Linked DNA regions of Tamandua tetradactyla. The protein of the gene in region 1 interacts with the protein of each later gene in a pairwise test. Links are inferred from orthologs where the notes say so. Each region holds a gene or a part of one and is shown in the gene's direction. Other genes may lie near its edges.

The links. The genes of interacting proteins can lie anywhere in the genome.
Region 2: the proteins of PNMA5 (region 1) and ZBTB25 interact in binary tests that used the Homo sapiens proteins (3 or more experiments, as listed by UniProt). The two-hybrid records come from large-scale screens. The link is inferred for Tamandua tetradactyla from reciprocal best matches to the Homo sapiens genes PNMA5 and ZBTB25.

Annotation. Positions count from the first base shown.
Region 1 is NC_135353.1:4,736,062-4,745,571, forward strand, and holds the start of PNMA5 (paraneoplastic antigen-like protein 5), read left to right. Parts: upstream 1-4,862; 5' UTR 4,863-4,975; intron 4,976-5,779; exon of another isoform or gene 5,780-5,802; intron 5,803-5,862; exon of another isoform or gene 5,863-5,891; intron 5,892-7,953; exon of another isoform or gene 7,954-8,013; intron 8,014-8,645; exon of another isoform or gene 8,646-8,705; intron 8,706-8,860; 5' UTR 8,861-8,953; coding exon 8,954-9,510.
Region 2 is NC_135338.1:21,759,901-21,770,465, reverse strand, and holds the start of ZBTB25 (zinc finger and BTB domain-containing protein 25), read left to right. Parts: upstream 1-6,359; 5' UTR 6,360-6,369; coding exon 6,370-6,422; exon of another isoform or gene 6,423-6,530; intron 6,531-10,565. UniProt on the Homo sapiens protein: May be involved in transcriptional regulation.

The DNA of each region.
Region 1 (9,510 bases):
AGGTTCGATGCCACTCTTCAAGATAAGGGTGGGAGGCAGGCAATAAATGCACACGCAGCTCATTCCCCTCCTCCCCATTTCCCCGTCCTCCGGAGCCTGGTCCTGCCAGGCTTTCACCTGCACCACGTTGCTAGACCCGATGGTCGAGCCTCAGCCCCGTCTCCTCACTCCAGCAGCAGCATTTGGCAGAACTGATGGCTCCTCCGCTAGGCTTCCAACACTGTCCTGCCTTCCCTGCCGCACACATCCGGAAGCTGCGCGTTTCTCACTGTCTCCTCTTGCCTAAATGATCAGAGTGACCCACCCTGTCTTCTTGCCTCTGTCCTCGTGCCCCATACCCAAGCTATTTCGGCATGGCCACCGGAGTGCATGGTTTCGACTCAAGTCGGATCGCACCCCTCTTTTGCTCCAAATCTTCTCCTGGGCTCCATTTTCCCTGGAGTCCAAGTCCAAGCCCTCCCTGTCTGCTCCGGCACCTGTCACCTCTCTGAGTCCCACCCCTCCTCCCCCAATCCCCCCGCCCCCCCCCTCCATTCTAGGCATCCTCCTGCCTCAGGGCATTGCATTGTTCTCCCCTCTGCCTGAAGATGCCCACCGGGCTGGCTCCCTGAGGCCCCCTGGACCACTCTGTGCAGAATTGCACCCACTCCTCAGCTCTCCTTAGACCCCTTTTAGCTTCCTCTGTTCACATGGCCATCTTGTTCATGGTTTGTCTTTCCCTACTCAAATGCAACCTCTGCATGGGATTTTTTTTTTTTATTAATTAAAAAAAGAATTAACAAAACAATTAGAAATCATTCCAATCTACATGTACAATCAGTAATTCTTCTGCATGGGATTTTTGTTATTTGGCTCACGCCTCTTTCCCACGTCAGTACCTGGCATTATGCCCGGCATCAAGCAGGCACTTGATAAATGCTGCTGACAAAAATAAGTGAGATCATTTATGACCATGACGGGCTGGAGCTGTGCCGTTTTGCCCTGGCTGCCATGTGCCCCACGAGGCAGTTGAAACGTAAGCATAAATGAGTTAGAATCCAATTTAACAATTCAGTGCCTCATTGCACTCCCCACGTTTCAAGCGCTTGGTGGCCACGTGAGGCTGGCAGCTACCCTATGGGACAGTTCATCTGCATCCTTGCAGAAAGCTCTGTCAGGCAGCACAGAGCGAGAGAGCAGCTGCATTGGTGACTTTAGATGAGAGGGGGAGGAATCTCAGGTGAGGAAATTTGTCCTGAAGGCAGAATGATGAGAAGCAGCCACTGGTACAGGGACCTGGAGGGAAGAGGTTTCCAGGCAGAGGGACCAGTCGGTGCCATGCCTAGTGGGGCTGAGTCCTGGGGGCCACCAAGCAGAGGAGCAGCTGGAAACCCCAAAGAGAGGAAGGACCAGTGAAGGAGGAGGGGAGCCGCAAGAATCTGGCATCCCAGGAGCCGTGGGAAGAATGCGCATGAGGAAGGAAGGAAGGAAAGGCCCTTGGCTGGTAGAGTTCACTGGTCTTCCCCCACCGAAGGGCAGCGGGTGTGATGGAGCAGCCTTTGAAGACTCAGTTGGGATGCTAAAGGGATGGCCAGCCTTTGGGGCAGGGTGGAGTACTGCCCACTGGTTTTGGCAGATGCCAGAATGGCTGGGTCCAGAAACTGAGGGGCAGAAGTGGGAGTGGCTCCGTTCAGTATTGTGTTCCTGGTCCACTAACAAAATATTTGTTTCCCATCCCTGCAATTTGGGGCTCTGCTGGTCCGGCAGACTTAGTTTCCAAGGGAGGAATGCTTCCACCAGGGGACCCTGCGCCGGTCCCACTGAATGGGAAGTTAAGGCAGCCACAGCCAGCTGGGTGAGGACAGGGGTCCTTGGAAGGTTCGCAGAAGGAGGAAATTCTAAAGATTGGCTACACCTCAGGGCCAGCTGCAGAAATAAGAGCTAGAGAAGCTCTGTGCATTTTGTCACGCTTTTGAGTATCTTAACTCCTTTGTTCCTTCTTACTTTCCTTTTCTAATCCCGTGGTTAATTTATCTTGGTGGTAATTGACCTCACAATTGGGCCAGAGAATGAGAATTTGCCTAATGGGACCTCGGACTCCCCCTTTTCTGGAGAGAGGGTGAGGGTGTGTTCACCTACCTGAGGGCTGGTCACGCCCCGCCGAGCGGAGGCATAATGTCACCGTGGTCATCACCTGGGAGATGAATGTGGGTGGGAGAATGTGACGGATGCTGAGCGGGAAGGGAGGGCTGGCTGGCTTGGCTTTCTCAGCTCTGCTCGTCCCTGCCCTTTTGTGTAAAGCAGAGGCCTGGGAACCTCAGGTCCCAGGTTCCTTCACCACACTGGCTCTGCGTTCCCTTCCCCAGGGAGAGGCATTCATGCCACATTGGGACAGCAGCGAAGCCCTCATTTTCTGGTAGCACGCTAGTATGGGGCATCCAAAGAAATCACACGCAGACTTTTCCAGCAGCTTCCCGGCAACCTCCTGGCAATCAGCCCTGACAGTCCTGCAGGTAGCTGGGACCATTGCATCTTGGGGCCTGGGAACCACTTATTTACTTTCGGATTTCCCCAAAGCCTGCAACAGCCTCCCTGCCCCTCAGTCCCCCCGGCCTGGTAGGGATTGTGGAAGTCACTGATTATCTGAGCCCTTCCTGCTCGAAAGTGGCCCTACCTCCCTGGCACCTGCCTCTAAGTCTGTCAGTGCTGCTTCACCCAGCTCGTCCATGCTGTCCAGCACACATCTGCTAGGGAAGGAGTCCCCTGCTGAGTGCTCTGTCTGTGAACACCTCCTGCCTGCACCCTGCACACCTCCTGGCTTTGGACTCCCTCTGCGAAGGCCTTCTGTGGACCCCTTCTTCATGCCACACTTTTCCCAGGGCGGCTGGTGCTATTTCCACCCCTGGGGAGACCTTCAGCTCCCACATGTGCCTGGGAATGCATACATCTCTGCTCTAAAGCTTCCTCCGGCTACTGGAGCTCACTCCCTGTGAGAGCCTGGACACCAGGCCTTTCCTGAGAATACTCTTTGTACATTTATGTTTTAATAGCTTTACTGGGGTTATAATTGGCACACAATAAACCACGTCTCAAGTGCACGCTTGGATGAGTTTTGGCATCCGTGAAACCATCACTGCAATTAAGAGTGAGCACATCTGTCACCCCCCAAACTTTCTGGGTACCCCTTTGTGATACCCCTGCCTTCCCGTCCCTGTCCCTATCTCTGCATTCTCCGATCTGGTTTCTTGTCACTGCAGATCAGTTTGCATTTTCAAGAGTTCTACACAAGTGGAATCACACGGTATGCATCCATTTGGGGTAATGGAGACATTTCTTGGTCTTGACTGGGGTGGTGCCCAGACTCTAAACTTAAAATGGATGTGTTTTACTGCCTATTAATTATCCTTGATAAATTGCTTTTTAAAAGGAAGGAAGAGTTATGAAGTTAACACCCCAGCCATTGTGAGGGGAAGTACAGGTCTGGCAGGCAGAACTAGCAGTGTCCACGAGGCCAGTGGGAGTCAGGACACTGGACAGTGATCTGAGAATCCGCCCACCGCCCCGGGTAAAACAACCCCCCCCCCCGAATAAAACATCCCAACGGGAGTGTAACACCCCAGCAGCACCAGTTAGCCTTGTTTGCTCCTCCAGCCAAGGAGACTGATTGAACAAATCTGCCTATTCTTAGGAGGTAAGGCACACTGAGGGAGTCTTCTGCAGTTAAAGGGGAATATGCTGTGCACTGCAAACATCTCACTCAGTGACTTTTTATTGAAATTTGCTTTGTTTTTAGGATTTTTTTTTTTATAGAACAATCATGAAACCGTCTGGGGGTGTTTTTTTTTCTTTTGTGTGTGTGTACCTTTAGCAAATAAGGGTAAAGAAATCTACTATGTCACCAAAGGGTCACATCATCTGGCCCTGAAAAGTAAAAACAGGCTTTTAGAGCCTCACGACCCAAGGCATGGTCAGGCACCTGCAGCATCGGAGTCAAGGAACTTTCCAGAACACCCCTCCCCCACCACGCCTCTGCCTCAGAGCAAACCTCTTCAGTCTGGAGAAAACGTTCCTTTAAGAAAGGGCGAGAATTCATTTGGGTCTAGCTGGGTAATACTTGGTCCTGAAAGCGAGAGAAAAACGAGGATTAGGAGTCTTTTGATAGTTTTCTATTTCGGGGTGGGGCGGATCCCCGTTTCTCGCCATGCCTCACCTCCCCCCCAAAGCACGCCCACCCCACCCCGCCTAAAGGCAAAAAAGGCGCCAAGCCTTGCTTTCCCTCTGCGCCCGGCCGCAATATGGAAATGAGGAGGGCGTGGGTGGCTGTCGCGCCACAGTGTCCGGCCAATGGGGAGCGGCACCTGCCCTCGGGTCCCGCAATGGCTGCTGGGGCTCGCGGGACACGTGGCTTGGCGGGCTCCTAGGGGCCGACCGCATGGGGTGGGGTAGGGGGGTGGGGTGGGGTGGGGTAGGGGGGTGGGGTGGGGCGGGGTGGGGGTAGGGGGGTGGGGTAGCGGGGTGGGGGTAGGGGGGTGGGGTAGCGGGGTGGGGGTAGGGGGGTGGGGTAGCGGGGTGGGGGTAGGGGGGTGGGGGTGGGGTGGGGTAGGGGGGTGGGGTGGGGTGGGGGTGGGGTGGGGTAGGGGGGTGGGGGTGGGGTGGGGATGGACTGGCGGGGGACAGGCCGGCCGGCACTGTGAGCTGCTGGCGGGGGGGGGTGGGGGGTGGGGGCACCACGTGGCCCAGGCTGGCTTCTGGGTGGGCTGCCGTGCGGGGTGGGGGGGTAGAGGGGTGACAGGGCGGGACTTCGGTTCCCCCACCCCCACCTCGAGGCGTGCAGGCTTCAGGGCGCAGCCGCGAGCGGGCCGTGTGCAGCTCCGCGGGGGGCCATCACGCGGCTCCCCTTAACACTCCACCCACTGGCGGCCCACACTGCACTGCGGCGGCGGACGAGAGGTGGCGGCGGCCCGCGGGGGCTCCGCTCCTCAGGCGTCTCCGACGGGTAAGGTGCGGGTCCCCCGGTGTCCTGGCGGCCCTGTGGTCGCAAGGGAAACCCTATTCCCCGTCCCATATTCGCCTTCCGTCCCCACCGGGCATCCCCGGGGCGGGTGACCGCAGGGTCCCCAGGCAGCGGGTTCCCGCTAAGATGGGCCCGCACCCTGACAGCGCGCAGCATGCGCGGGCCTCGGCCGCCCTGGGTGTTCCTGGACCTCGGGCCACCCCGAACCTGCCCCGAGCCCCCTCGCGGGCAGGCCAGGGCGCCCGGGTCTCTCTCCGCCCGGTGTCCGCCAACCTGCACGTGGGGAGACGGTCCTCGGGGGACGGGGTTGCTGGGCCCCAGGGTGGGCGTGAAGGGGGTGGGGGTGGGGGAGCGAGTGTGGGAGAGAACCTGGGGTGGGAGGTGGTGGACGCTGTGGCAGGGGCCTGAGTGAGGGGCTGCACGCATGGGGGGAGGTCGCGGGGGTGCAGGGGTGGGCTCCTGGGCGCGAGAGCGTGAGAGTGGGGCTACATGGCAAGGGCGAGACCGTGAAGAGGGAGGGTGCGCGTGGAGTCGACATCGTGGAGGCGGTGGGGTGGGCCCCGCGCGACAGAGGGCGAGAAGGATGGGGGCAAGACCGTGAGGCGGCGACTCAGTGCGTGGGGTAGGCGGGGGCGAGAGGGGGCGGGGGCGAGAGGGGGGCGGTGCGCTGGCAGCGGGGCGTGCGGAGGCGGGAGGGGGCGTGCGGATGTGGGGGCAGGACGCGGCGGAGGCGGGCCGACAGTGAGCTGGGCGGGGTTACGTCGAGGGGAGATCGCAAAGGTTACAGGGTGCGGGGGCGAGAGCGCGAGGTGTGGGGGCGAGTACACGGGCGTAAGACCGTGAGGTGGGAGGGTGCGCGGGTGGGGGCAGATGGCGGCGGTTGGGGGATGGCACGAGGGTGAGAGTGTAATGGGGGAGGGTGCGCGGGTGGGGGCAGATGGCGGCGGTTGGTGGATGGCACGAGGGTGAGAGTGTAATGGGGGAGGGTGCGCGGGTGGCGGCAGGTGGCGGTGTTTGGGAGATGGGCGCGGGGGTGAGAGCGTGAGCTGGGTGGGGCACGTGGAGGCGGGATCGCGGAAGTGAGGATGCGGGCGCCTGGGTGAGTGAGGTGAGGGGCTGAGTGGTCAGCGACAAGAGTGTGAGGTGGGAGGGTGTGCGGGTGGGGGCATCATGGAGGTGGAGGATGGGTGCCCGGGTGAGAGCGTGAGCTGGGTGAAGTACATTGAGGAAAGATTGCGGGGGTGAGAGTGCAAGGTATGGGGGCGAGTATATGTGTGTAAGAACGTGAGGTGAGAGGGTTTGCGGGTGGCGGCAGATGGCGGCTGGCGGTTGGGGGAATGGGCGCGGGGGCGAGCGTGGTGGGGGAGGGTGCGCGGGTGGCGGCACATGGCGGCGATTGGGGGATGGGTGCGTGGGTGGCGGCAGATGGCGGCGGTTGGGGGGTGGGTGCGGGGGCGAGAGTATGAGCTGTGCAGGGCACGTCTAGGCAGAATCGCGGAGGTAAGGGTGTGGGCGCGGGGGTGAGAGTGCAAGGTGAGGGGCCGAGTGCACAGGGGAAGCCCATGAGGTGGGAGGGTGCACATGTGGGTGCATCAAGGAAGCGGACGGTGGGTGCAAGGGTGAGAGCTTGCGCTGGGTGAGGTACATGATGAAAGATTGTGGAGGTGAGGGAGTGTGCACGTGGGTGAGAGTGCAAGGTGTGGGGGCGAGTACACGGGCGTAAGACCGTGATGGGGGAGGCTGCGCGGGTGGCGGCACATGGCGGTGGTTGGGGGATGGGTGTGGGGGTGAGCGCGCGATGGGGGAGGGTGCACGGGTGGCGGCAGATGGCGGCGGTTGGGGGATGGGCGTGGGGGCGAGAGTATAAGCTGTGCAGGGCACATCGATGAAAGATTGCGGAGGTGAGGGAGTGTGCACATGGGTGAGAGTGCAAAGTGTAGGGGCGAGTACATGGGTGTAAGACCGTGATGGGGGAGGCTGCGCGGGTGGCGGCAGATAGCGGCGGTTGGGGGGGTGGGAGCGTGAGCTGGGCGGGGGGCATCGAGGAGGATCGCGGGGGTGAAAGTGTAAGGGGTGGGGGTTAGTGCATGGGGCAAGACGGAGACGCGGCAGATCGGGCGGTTGGGGGATGGGCACGGAGATGAGAGAATGCGCTGGGCGGGAGCATCAAAGCAGGATCGCGGAGGTGAGGGAGTGGGTGCAGGGGGTGAGAACGGAGGTGAGGGGGCGAGTGCACAGGGTTAAGACCCTGAGGTGGGAGGGTGTGGAGGTAGGGAGATGGGTATAGGGGAGACAGAGTGAGGTGGGACTGGGCAGTTCCTGGGGAGATCAGGAAGGTTAAAGGGTGAATGTGGGGGTGAGAGCAGGAGGTCATGGGGCGAACCAGGAGGCATGGGGAACGCGCGTGGGGGTAGATTGTGCAGGTGGGGGATGGGCGCAGGGGCGACAGCGTCAGCTGGGGTGGGGGTGGGGGTGGGGTGTCAAGTTGAGATCCCCGAGGTTTGAGAGTAGGTGTGGGGATGAGAGGGTGAACGCACCAGGGCAAGATCATTAGGTGGGAGGGTTCGGAGTGTAGGCAGATAGCTAGGGGAGGGAGTAGGCAGAGGGGTGAGACTGTGAGGTGGGAAGGGGGCACTTGGGGGTGAGATGGGGGAGGTGAGCAGGTGGGCGAGCAGGAGCATGAGGGGCATTTGCGCATGGAATCAGAGTGTTGGGAGTATGAGCAATTGTGGTCCGAGGTGTATGAGGGGTGGGTGCCGGGGTGAGGGTAGAGGGCATGGTGGATGTGGCCATAGCCTCACTTAGGAGCCTGTTGGTGCCAGCAGCAGCGCCCAATTGAGGAGTTTCTTGTACCCTGGGTCTTGTATCCAGGGTCTTGGTGGATGTCTTGGCACACGGGGATCAGCACGGTGGCATCTGGGCAGAGGCAGAGTAAAGCAGCTCTGCATTGTTATCCACAGCTCCTGTGCGGCAGGACCCACTGCCCCTGGCCAGGAACTGCTTGACTGGACAGAACTAGGGTACGAGCAGGGTGCTAGGTGCTGGGTGCTGGGCCCTATTGGACCTCCTGGGAGGAGGGTGAGGACCTGCGATGTGGCCTCTATCTGGAGGGGCTTGTGTTGGCTCTGGTCACAACTAGGCTGAGGGCTGTGAAGCACTGGGCACCCTGTCTGGGCTTCTTTTCTTCCTCTGACCACAGCTTCCACACCATCTGAAACCGTCAGCTCTGGTGTTTTTTTAGGGCACAGTCCTCGCCCAGCTCACCCCCCTGCAGCAGCCCACTGGTTGATAGAGTGCTCCAAGGCCGGTAGCATCGCTTGTTGTTCCTCAGAGGCCTTGAGCCGACCACCAGACCCTTCTGCAATGGAAACTCAGGGTCTACGTAGTTCCCCGTAGCCATGGCAACACTGCAGCCTCTCATCCCCTCTCGCAGCTCACAGCGCAGCGCTCCGGCCATCTTTTTCATCTGCTGGGCGTTTCCTGAGGGAGTGGGGGGGCTGCATCTGCTTCCTCCAGCCTTGCCTAGGCCACTTGGGCCGCAGTGGCACCCAGCCCAGGAGAGGGGCATTTTCCTGCCCTCATCTGCTTAGAAGGCTCTGCCAGCGGCCTTGGGTGGCAGGCCACGCCTCCTTATACTGACCTTTCCGGGCAGGCAGTGGTAGCTCTCCAGCAGAGTCCCTGGACTTGGAGGAGGAGCCCACAGCAGCAGCAGGTCGGCAGGGAGGGGTGGGGTGGGGGCAGATTTGCCTGGGGAGATCTCTCCACACAGTGACTGCAGGAGCTCTGCAAGTGTGGGGGGCCTGAGTCCATGTGGGGGGCCAGGGTGGGGCTGGGAGTTTCACAGTGCTCTCACCCCTTTGCGTTTAGGCTGTGGAATCCTGGGACAGTTCTGCCCTCGTGAGTCCTGGCACAGGCTCATTCCTGCTCCTGTGTTAGAGCAGCCCTGAGGAAGCGGGAGCAATGGCAGTGACCCTGCTAGAGGACTGGAGCAAGGGGATGGACCTGGACCCCAAGAAGGCTCTGCTGATTGTGGGGATCCCCCTGGACTGTAGTGAGTCCGAGATTAAGGAGACGCTGCAGGCAGGCTTACAGCCGCTGTGCTCATACACAGTGCTGGGGAGAATGTTCCGAAGGGAAGACAACGCTAAAGCCGTTTTTGTAGAATTGACTGACACCATCAACTACGCCCTGATACCCAGTCAGATCCCAGGGAAGGGGGGTGCCTGGGAAGTGGTGGTCAAACCCCGTAACCCAGATGATGAGTTTATCAACAAACTGAACTACTTCCTGAAAGATGAGGGCCGGAGAATGGTAGATGTGGCCAAAACATTTGGGTACAGCCAACTCACTGCAGGGCCTGCAGAGGGCGCAGTGACACCCCTGGAGTTGCCGTCCCTGAAAGAGAGCATGTGGTACCGAAAGCTGAAAACATTCTCAGGCAATGCTTTGCCAGCCCCAGACGAGGAGACCTTTGAAGTGTGGCTGGAGCAGGTGACAGAGATGATGCAGCTGTGGCA
Region 2 (10,565 bases), on another chromosome or scaffold:
TATTTAAAAGTGGCTTTCTTGTCATCCAAAAGCACCTAACACAATAAAAGCCTTCACACATGCCTTTTTCTTTACTTAAAACCTTTTCAATGTCCACTCCCTCCCTCGGGGAAATGCTTTCTCGTCTTCATGGTAAGGCAGAGAGGATGCCCCTTTTCTTTGCTTCCAGAACAGTTCATACATACAAGTATAGGGTGATATATAATGTATCATCCAAACTGGGATGCTATATCTCATCACATTATTTGGCTTCCCTGCTTTACTGTAAGCTACCTGAGATCAAAGCATTATCTTAGTCATCACCAGATTCCCTGAACCTTTAACAGTTGCCTGATAGTTGTTATTTTTATCAGTTTTTTGAGTGAATAAATGTTGAAGTAGCTAAGTTTTTTTTTTTTTTTTTTTTTTTTTTTTAAAGGAAAGACAGAGAGAAGGAAGGAAGGATAGAAGGAAGGAAGAGAGGAAGAAAGGGAAACATCTTTTAAACATTTTCTTGTTTTATTGTATTTTGTTTCTCCGTTTTCGTTACATGGGCTGGGGCCGGGAATCGAACCGAGGTCCTCCGGCATAGCAGGCAAGCACTTTGCCCGCTGAGCCACCGCGGCCCGCCCGCTAAGTTTTAATTTGCTTACCAACTTTGCATTATTTCAATCATGGTAACTTTTATATTGTGGCCAAAAATCTACAAAGCATATACAACAAACTCACACTAATCCTATCAGGTTATTTTAATTATCCTCATTTTGCGATAGAGAAAACTGAGGCTCCGAGGCTGATTTGACCAGGATTGTTGATCTTGTAAGAAAAGCTGAGATTCAAACTCTGTAGTTTTTATAAACGAGTCAACACTCTTTATGGATATGAATGACAACCCACTGAACTGTCCCTTCTGAACATTCTAAGCCTCCTACAGTTATCCTTCTTCATGAATCTGAAAGCTCTCATCATTCTCATACTACCCCATCTTGTAGAAAGAATGTCTATTCCTTTCACCATCTTCCCTTTCCGTCTGCTAATTATCACTGTCCACCCACAGCATTCAATTCCCTAATACTAAAGATTTAAAGTAGGACAGAGCTCTTCATTTATCTCTAAGAAGTATGCATCTCACATAGACAACTAATAGATAATCTGGTTGGTGATTTCATTCTTTAACTTTCAAATTTTATTTTGATAAACAATTTTAAATTCAAAGAGTAGTGTAAAATAAAACACACATGTCCTCAACACCCCCGAAATAACCAATGTTGTGATTAGATTTCTATGTACTGTTTTAAGGCTTTGTTTTCAGAATATCATCAACTTCTTCACAGCTCATTTGTCTTGAATACACCGCTAAGAAATAAGTCATTCTATATTTTGACTAGGATCTCTTGTAATTTATAAATGACTATACACTTATATACTAAAATATAAACGCGCTTAGAAGTATATCTTAAATACATGTCAAGATGACAAACATGAGTGGCATACAGATCTGGATCCCTTCCTCTCCCTCCCTAGTATCAGTCCCTTCCATGCCACATCTTAAACAGTAGTCATTAATCTTCTTTCTGAATAAAAAGGTATTTGCAAAGTCCCCTTGGTGGACTGGGAGAAAGGAGGAAATATTCAAATTCCCCATTTGGGGAATTCCTGATATGCTCACAGAGGGACAACCAATCCCATAGACTGAGCCCTCAATCTTGGGGCTTGCCCCTATGAAGCTTATTCCTGCGAAAGAGAGGCTAAGTCTATTGATAATTATGCCTAAGAGTCATGGCTCCATCCCCCCACCCCTCTTCTGTTGCTCAGATGTGGCCTCTCTCTTTAAGCCAACTTGGCAGATGAACTCACTGCCCTCCCCCCTTACATGGGACATGACCCACAGGGGTGTGAATTTCCCTGACAATGGGGACCTGACTCCTGGGGATGAGCCAGGACCCAGCATCATGGAAATAAGAAAACCTTGACCAAAAGAGGGAAGAGAGAAATGAGACAAAATGAAGTCTCTGGCTGAGAGATTTCAAATAGTCAGATTATCCTGGAGGTTATTCTTAAGCACTATATAGATATCCCTTTTTAGTTTATGGTGTATTGGAGAGGCTAGAAGGAAGTACCTGAAACTGTTGAACTAACTGTGTTCTAGTAGACTTCATTCTTGAAGAATACTGTATAACTATATAGCTTTTACAATGTGACTGTGTGATTGTGAAACCCTTGTGTCTGATGCTCCCTTTATCCAGGGTATGGACAGATGAATAAAAAAAGTAAGGATTAAAAACTAAATAAATGATGGGGGAGATAAAGGGTAAAAATTGGGTAGATTGAAATACTGTGGGTCAACGAGAGGGAGGGGGAAGGGTATGGAATGTATGAGGTTTTTTAAAAAATTTTTCTTTCTTTTTCTGGAGTGATGTAAATGTACTAAAAATGATGACAGTGAAACACAACTATGTGATGATATTGTGAGCCACTGATTGTATAATATGGTTGGACTGTATGTGTGTGGATAGTTCTCAATAAAAATATTTATTTTTTAAATTTTTCTTTCCACTAATGTCCTTTGCTTAATGTTTGGCATGCAACATTTGGTCCTGATCAGGAGGAACCCCACCTCCCCTTATCAGCACAGGGATATCTCAGCAGTGGTTTTCATGGCAAGTACATCCACCCTTTCCCAACTATGTATTTCAAAACTGTCTACATATGTGATGGTTTTGTTTTGTTTTAATGAGCTTGGTGTAAATCAACCTATTAGAGGCTGGGCAACATTAACATCATTTAAAAGTATGAGAACTGGCTTGCCGAGGTACAGTAAACACTTCATGAGGACACACCTAAAGCAGCAGCGCTGTTATATTTAAACTCTCAAGTCTGTTTTTTAATCCTACAATTTTAAATAAGCCCAATGCAAACCACTCCCTTTTCCTCTACCAGGCAATTCTCATCAACCTGAGTAGTGAACAGAGAATATAAACCCATGAATTACCACAGGCCAGCCCTAGGCAGGGTGATCAAATGTTGCCTTCTCTCTTTTTAAACAAGGAATTGACTGTTAACAGTGATTCGGGGAGTAGGGGTTAAAATGAGTTTCATTTTTGTATTTTATGTGTAGGTTGATTTAAAAGTATGTGTTTTATAATTTAAAATTTTCATTGAGAAAAAAATAAATTTTAATTTAGTTTACATAAGAGTATATGAACAAACAACAAGATAAATCACTATTTTACATTAAAAGATTTTAGCACAAGAAAATATCAGGAAAAAGCAGCTCCTGTAAAGACGAAAGTGACCTCTCAAGCAGATGCTTCTCAAATAAACCCCAACTTGTTTTGGAAGATAGGCTATATTTTAAAAATAAAAATCCATGAAAAATTTTCTGCTTTTATACCACTCAATGGTTTCCTTCTCTTTGGTTCAGAAGATTAAACAGAAAAGGCTTAGCACTTATTCTGGCTGGGGAGGGAAAAGTCTGAAAGCAGCAGCTTCTTTTCTCCCACACAAGTGAATGGGAGATGCTGCTGCAAGGCACATGGGAGACACTGGCTATGGTCCTGGCTAAATATGGTTTCTCTTTTCTCTGACAATGATGCACCACAGGGTACCCTCACTTTCCCCCCAAAAGTAGGCCATCATATTAAGGGTGGGAAGAATAGAAAGGAATCTGAAGACTGCTCAACCTGAATTATTCTACACCATGAACTTCTGGTCTTCAAGAAATCCTGCTTTTAAAATAGATTATAAGATGTTAACCAAAGGTTCTACTGCAGACTTTATTAATCTTTGTAAAAGCATTTATTTCACTTCCCTGCGCTTCAGTTTCCGCTGTCTGTTTAGGACAGGAAGTCCCCATCTAGTTCCCAAAGTCATTGCTATTGAGACTTTATTAATATCCAGAAAGTGATTAAATAGAACTGTGAGGTTCTTGAGGTTCTGAGCAAATGACGGGCACCCATCATTCAAGCTTCTTTTTGTATCCATCCCAGATCTCCCTACTTCTCTAGATCGTATCCATTTGCACAAAAAACGGCATAGAATCTAATTCTACCTTTCAAAGGAGACTGCTTTCAAGTCATCATGAGAACTGCATCCTTCACAAAATCTGTTCCTGAATGCGTTAAACTTCAGCTTAGGAAACTGATTCAAAGATGCCTCAAAAGTTCTTGGACGGCTCCTTGGGTTCGAGTATCAACGGGAAAAACTCTTCTGGAACAATTTTCCTGAGGTTTACACACTATGAAATACACTTAGACCAATGGAGAATTGCGTGTAGCTCAATTTAAAATTATTACGCACATACACATGCCCTGAAAATATCAAGGACTTTCATCATCCTCTCCTTGAGGTTCCCAATTTGGAAAATGTCACCTCCACCCTTCAGATCCTGTAGAGGCGTTGCTTAAGTAGAAAGCGAGGCTGAGAAGGAGTGGCTGAGCTCATGCTCATGCCTACACATTTTAGGGTTAACTTCCGACAAACATCCAAGACATTCACCAAACGCTTGGAACTTCTAGTGAGTGCCCCCCCCCGCCCCATTTGAAGCGAAAGCACCTTCTCCCCAGGAAACATACCTTTTCCACTGAAAATTCCCAACCCCCAGACTTTGTACTGGACAAAAACCGTGTGTGCCGGCGACAGGGGGTGGGAAAGAGCAATCTGCGCAGCTCTTAACGCCTCCTCCCTCGGAGCGCGCCCAAGTCTGCGGCCTCCAGCTCCGGGACACTTCCCTCCCACCCGCCGAGAAGCCGCAGCTGTAAACTCAGAGAAGCGGGCTCTGGGCACGTCAATCAAACCAGGTCCTCCCGCCTCCAGTCTATACCTCCCCTTCTCTCCCTTCCCCTCCCCCCTCAAAAAAAATAATAAAGGCAGAGAAAGAAAGGTAAAAGAAGGTAACTAATTTGGGAACTCGTCTCCGCGGGGGCTTCGCACTGGACTCAGGAAGGCCGCATGCCCCTGACCAGTCGCACCGGCGGGCAGCGGGATCGAACAGGCGGCCCGGCAGCCGCCGTTCGCCAGGTCTTCACCGCGCGTCCGCCGCGCTCCAGTTCCCCGCAAGGGCCGGCGCCGCTCGGGGCCAGCACCCCTCCAGGCCCGCGGCCGTCACCCTCCGGCCCAATCCAAAGTTGCGCAAATAGCCCCACAACTGGCAAATACTCACCGGCCGCAGCAACAACCAGGGCTGCAGAGATTTTAGGGAGTTTAAGGCAAACCAGCTGCGGGAAAGGCGGACTGAGGCGAAGGGGCCGCGAGCTGCAGTGGCGGCGGCGCGCGGCTCTCGGGCTTGGCTGCGCGGAGAGGCTCTGGCTCTGCCAGGGACTGCGCTGCAACAAAGGACTTCCGCTGCCGCACAGCCGCGCCTGCCGCACCGCACTGAGCCGGCCCCGCTTACGCGGCGACTCCGGGTCTGCCCACCAGTTCGCTGCGGCGTCCGCCAGCCTTCCCCTCCCTCTCGCCCGCCCACCCACTCCGCCGCTGGCTGCTAGGGGCAGCCGCGGTCGCCTGTTTGTTGCAACAAGTTTCTGCGTCGGGCTCCGGGGAGGCTGGCGCAACCCGCACCGCGGGGGCCGGCGCGGTGGCGGCGGCTTGACCACCCCTCTCGCTCCTCTCCCAAGGGTAGGCTTGGGACCTCCTCTTGTTTGCACAGCTGGATGGGACTGAACTCCTCCCGACTCCCCAAGGGCAGGATGCTGCTTTCCTACTGCTCCAGATGTCAAACGCCTTCACCATAGGGCCCAGCAGCTCGGCCCTCCCTCGCCATAAGCCCTTGTTGTTCCGGGGGCGCCGGCACCCTCGCCCTGTCCCTCCCGCGACAAGTCCGTTTGGGGTCGCCCACTCTTTGCGCTCCCCCCACCCTGCCTTCCATGGGTCTGTCCGCCTCTGGCCCTGAGTCACTTCCCCCGCCATGCCCCACCCAGCCCAACACGCCTCCCCTTCCAGGCTCCCGCGGCTAAGCTTCCCTGGCTCCCTGCCCTAACCCCTCTCCTAGCGAATGAGCGGGCGCATCCCTCCCAGCCCCCACCCTCACCCCAGAAATGAGAGGGTGCCTGTGCTTTTGCACGCCCTGGGGAAAGTCCCCGGGTCACGCGGTTGTGTGTAGGAGCCAGTGACGCTGAGGCTTGTTCCCACACTTCCGCCTAGAAAGTCAGGACTGGGGTCCGTGGGGGCAACAGCAGCGTCCGAAGCGCGTGCAAACCCCCGCCCTGTCACTCAGGCCAGCGGGCGCGCACGTACGCACGCACGCACACCCTGGCCCCAGTGGCCGCCGTTCTCCGGGTACCAGGCGCACGGTCACGTGGGACGATAGTGGGGCGGCCGGTGCCGAAAGCCGCGCGAGAGCGACCCGCGAAGTGCGTGATTCGGCGCCGCCGCGTGCTGTGCGCGGCGCGGATGCCCGCCCCTCCCGTACGGAGGAGTCGGCCTGCCGCCGCGGCGGCGTCTGGGTAAGCGACGCGACCCAGCCTCTGTTTCCTGCTTGGGTCTCAGTCCCTCCCGCCGCGAGCCGCCAGATGCGGTGGCCTGCAGCTGGACCGGTCGCGGGACTGATGCAAGTAGGCGGGGAGAAGGGTATTTGGTTTATCTGAGACTTCAGTCAGAGTAGGAGAGGAAAATGACAGTTGCGAGTGAGCGCTGGGCCGAGGATGCCCCAGCACCTACCCTCGCTACCTGCCTAGGGCAGCCTGCAGACCCTGGAGGCATAGACAAGGCGCGGGGTCGCAACCAAGGCACAGGGATCTCTCTGTCACGGGCCCCAGTGCACCCCCCTCGCGGGAAGGGCCTGCAGGTCCCCCGGTGAGCAGTGCCTACGGCTCCTGCAAGGGACGGGTCTCCAGGTGTAGGCTGCGAGGATTCCGCTCCTCCCGTGCACACTCCCCTCCAGTTTGGGATTATCCAATTTTTAAGGTTCCTTATAATTCAGATCTTTCATTTTTCAAACTTTATTAGTCTTCTTCTAAGTAAACCCAAGTTTTCTTTTTGAAGCCTACCCTATCTATGCCTTCCCTCTGGGTGACGCTGTGGTGAGGCTGCTTATGTAGCACCTACCGCTGAACCTTGAACTTGACAGCAGCTTAAAACATATTGAAAAAATTAATGACTGTTTTTCCCCAAGGGGTCAAATATGGAGTTCATTCTGTTGAGATTCAAGTCCTTTTGGTAGAGCTATTGATTCTTACACAGGATTTTGTCAAGTGTATAAAGTACATCTTGGAATCAGGTATTTCAGCTTAGTGGGTCTAAAAGAAAATCCAATTCAGCCCTTTCATTTTAGAGGTGAAGACATCAGGCCTAAAGAGCATGGAGGTCCTACAGTTCTCAGTAGCATAGATTGCAGGACTTGGGCATTGCTCTTTTCCACCACACCAGAACTGCAGTGCCAATTTCACCCACTCACTGTGGAGACTAGTTGCCAGAGATAATTACACTTGGCTTGATTTGGTTCAGGTTATTGAGAAATCAGGCTTTGTTAGTATGCGGTGGCACTACTATTTTATGGAATGGGGTTGGCACTATGTTTAGGTGATAGTGGCTGCCCATGCTGCATTTCCCAGCTGAAAAACCATCCTGCCAAAACTTTACTCCTATACCTCCGTGAGAATAACAACATTTGCAATATTGGTCAGGTTAAGGCATCAAAATCTCTTTAGCAATCTGGATGTTTTAGTTAAGGCTAAATTATGAATCCATTACCAAGCATTAGCTCCTAATAGAGAACAGAACACTGGAGGTATAGGACATGGAATAGATTAATTCTAATGGCTGGGAGGTAATCAGGAAACAGTGGAACATCTTAGGGATGGGCAGCAAGTGAGGGAGGAGGAGCCCCACATGTCCTGCTACACCTTTTTGCCCAGCCCTGCCCCAAATTTCTCACTTGGAAGAAGATTCTGCTCAGGTTGGGTCACTGTTTATTCAGTACCTACAGTAGGCCAGTTCCCATACTAGCTGCTTTCCTGGTGATTTTGAGTTTTACCAAAAAGGTGTTGGTACTGTGTCCATGTTATAAATTACGAAACTAGTGGCTCGAAGAGATTTACCTGGCTGTGATGATGCAGTCATTTGCTCTAGAATTCAAGCTTGATCATTTATCTCCTAAGTTCAGTCAGTGCTCTTTTGCATTATATCTTGCCACCACTTCAAGCAGGGAAGGGGATGAGAGAATTGCCTGTGGCTGATTTATTGGCGCCTGTGGTTGCCCAGAGAGGCCAAGCAGGACTTTCAGCTGCCCTGTATGCCTTAGAAAGTGGAGCTGTGCACTTCCACCCTATCTCCTGAGGGGAATGAGAAGGAGCCAGGCTGTCTAGCTGGAGAGGAGAGGCCCAAGTGCCTTGGTCATAAAATATCCTGGCGAGAGCTATGCTGGGAAATGTTGCATCATGCCGTCTCCACCACTGAACCAAAGTGATTTATTTACTATGATCCGTAAATAACCATCTTGTTAAAGAAAAACTTGTCTGTTTTCCGGCTATAAGTGAGCCGGAAAATAATTGTTGGGTTTTTGTTTTTTAAGTATTATTGCCAGACTTTTCCTTGTCTGAAGAAAGCACTGCAGGTGTTGCTTTCTTGATAATTTATAAAAGACTACTCCACCACTTCCTGTGCTCCCTTTCTGCTTCTTTACTCCAAATAGTATGTGAACTTCAGTGTTTTGCAAGCAGAACTTAATTTGAGCAGGTCTGAGAGAGCAATGTTAAGAGCAATATTAATAGTTAACAGCACAGGCTATGGAGTTGGACTTGACTTTTTTATCCCTACTTTATACCATTTGCTAGTTGTGTGTCATAAGCCTGTTTTCCTCATCAGTATAGTGGAAATAAAAGCAACACATAAAAAAAAATAACATATGATCAAGGTGAGGATTCAAACACAGTTTACACAGAGCACTTAGGGCAAGACATTGCATATAGTAGTGGTAGCTATTGTATAATTTTAAATAATATAATAGTAATAGCTATTAGTAATAAGAAAAACAATATTATTCTCTCAAGAATAGGAAAGATACTGCTACTGAACCGGCTTAGGGAGAGTAGAGTAAGAGAAAAGAGTGTTTGAAGCAAACATTTGTTTCAGATTACTGATGGAATTTATTTTGAATTTATTTACACCTCTGCTTTTCCTTTACTAGCAGGATTCTTTGTTTAGTATATTTCACCTTGTCTGGAGAAGAAAATGTGTATAATGCTAACCAGCTATTTCTAATTTGTGTCTTTTCTGATTACAAATCAGTGATGATGCATTGACTTTTTCTTCCTTCTGAAAACTCTACACCCTTTAAGCACAGGGTTTTAATAGCCCATGCGGGTAACTAACATGTCTGTAGTTCCGCAGCTGAGGAAGTATTGGTTCAACAGAAGTTATAATCACTCACGCCTGTGCTGTATTCTAGGTCTATACTAGCATTGCTGTTTTCCAGCTTTCTCTCTTTTTTCTCCCCCCAGCTTTCTCTTGTCCTTTGAATGCCTTAGTTTTCCCTATCAGAAATGTAGTCTATTTTTTTTGGTGAACCAAGAATAATCCTTTCCTTTCTTTCACAGAGTTCAGATTTTTTTTTAAGGTTCATTAGCAGTTTGCACTCATCAGTGTTAGCATTCTTGTTTGCCTGGTGCCACAGCTTTATCAGGCATCCCATAATGTTGATTAGATGAAAGTTAGAGATGTAGAAGACTGGCTGTGGCAGCCAGGAGGCAGGAGGCCCCAAACTAATGTTGCCCTGTTCTGTTAAAGCCTTTAAAGTATAACTGCTCTTCCTGTATCATCTACCAAGTCTACTCCTTACCCTTTTGTCTAACATTCTCAGTGAATATAAAGCTGATGCACAGAATGACTGCTGGTTGTACTTCAAATAGTGTTTTCTGGTTTGGAATTTTGATATAATTTTTAGATATTATGAAAATAGGTCTGGTGGAATATGAGAGTAAATAATTCTTTTTTCCTAAATACTTGGGGAAAAAAAAAAACCCTGAAAATGGTGTTTCCTCCATCCCTACCCACCCACCTAACTAGTTTGGAGCACTTTTGTGTCTTAATCTGGCCAATTTTTGAGTTTAAAGTTAGAATTACATTGTTGATTTTTGATCATTTAATGTAGTCCATATAGTTCTTACACCTTGAACATTCCCTCGTGAAATTGCTTTTTTTCTCTCTAATTTTAGAGGATGAAATACTCCCTTGGTCCTTTGTTCTTCTGAAGCATAGGTTCTTAATTGAGTTAAAATATTAGAATCACTTGGGGAGCATTTCTTTTTTCTTTTTTTTTAACTGTGAAAAATAACATATACAAAAAAGCAATAAATTTCCAAGTACATTTTAACAAGGAGTTATACAACAGATTTTAAAGTTTGGTGTGTGTTACAGTTCCACAATTTTTTCACTTTTTCTTCTAGCTGCTCCAAACCTGGGGAGCTTGTTAAAAAGGGATCTTTGCCTTACCCATAACAATTTTGTTTCAGTTAGTCTGGGGTAGGACTTGGTAGTAAGTACAGCTCTCCATAAAAAGTTTTATAGTACAGTCAGTGATAACAGCCAATGTTCCAAGATAAAGTGATTTCCACAAACATTATTACGTTCTTTAGGTAATAAAATATCAC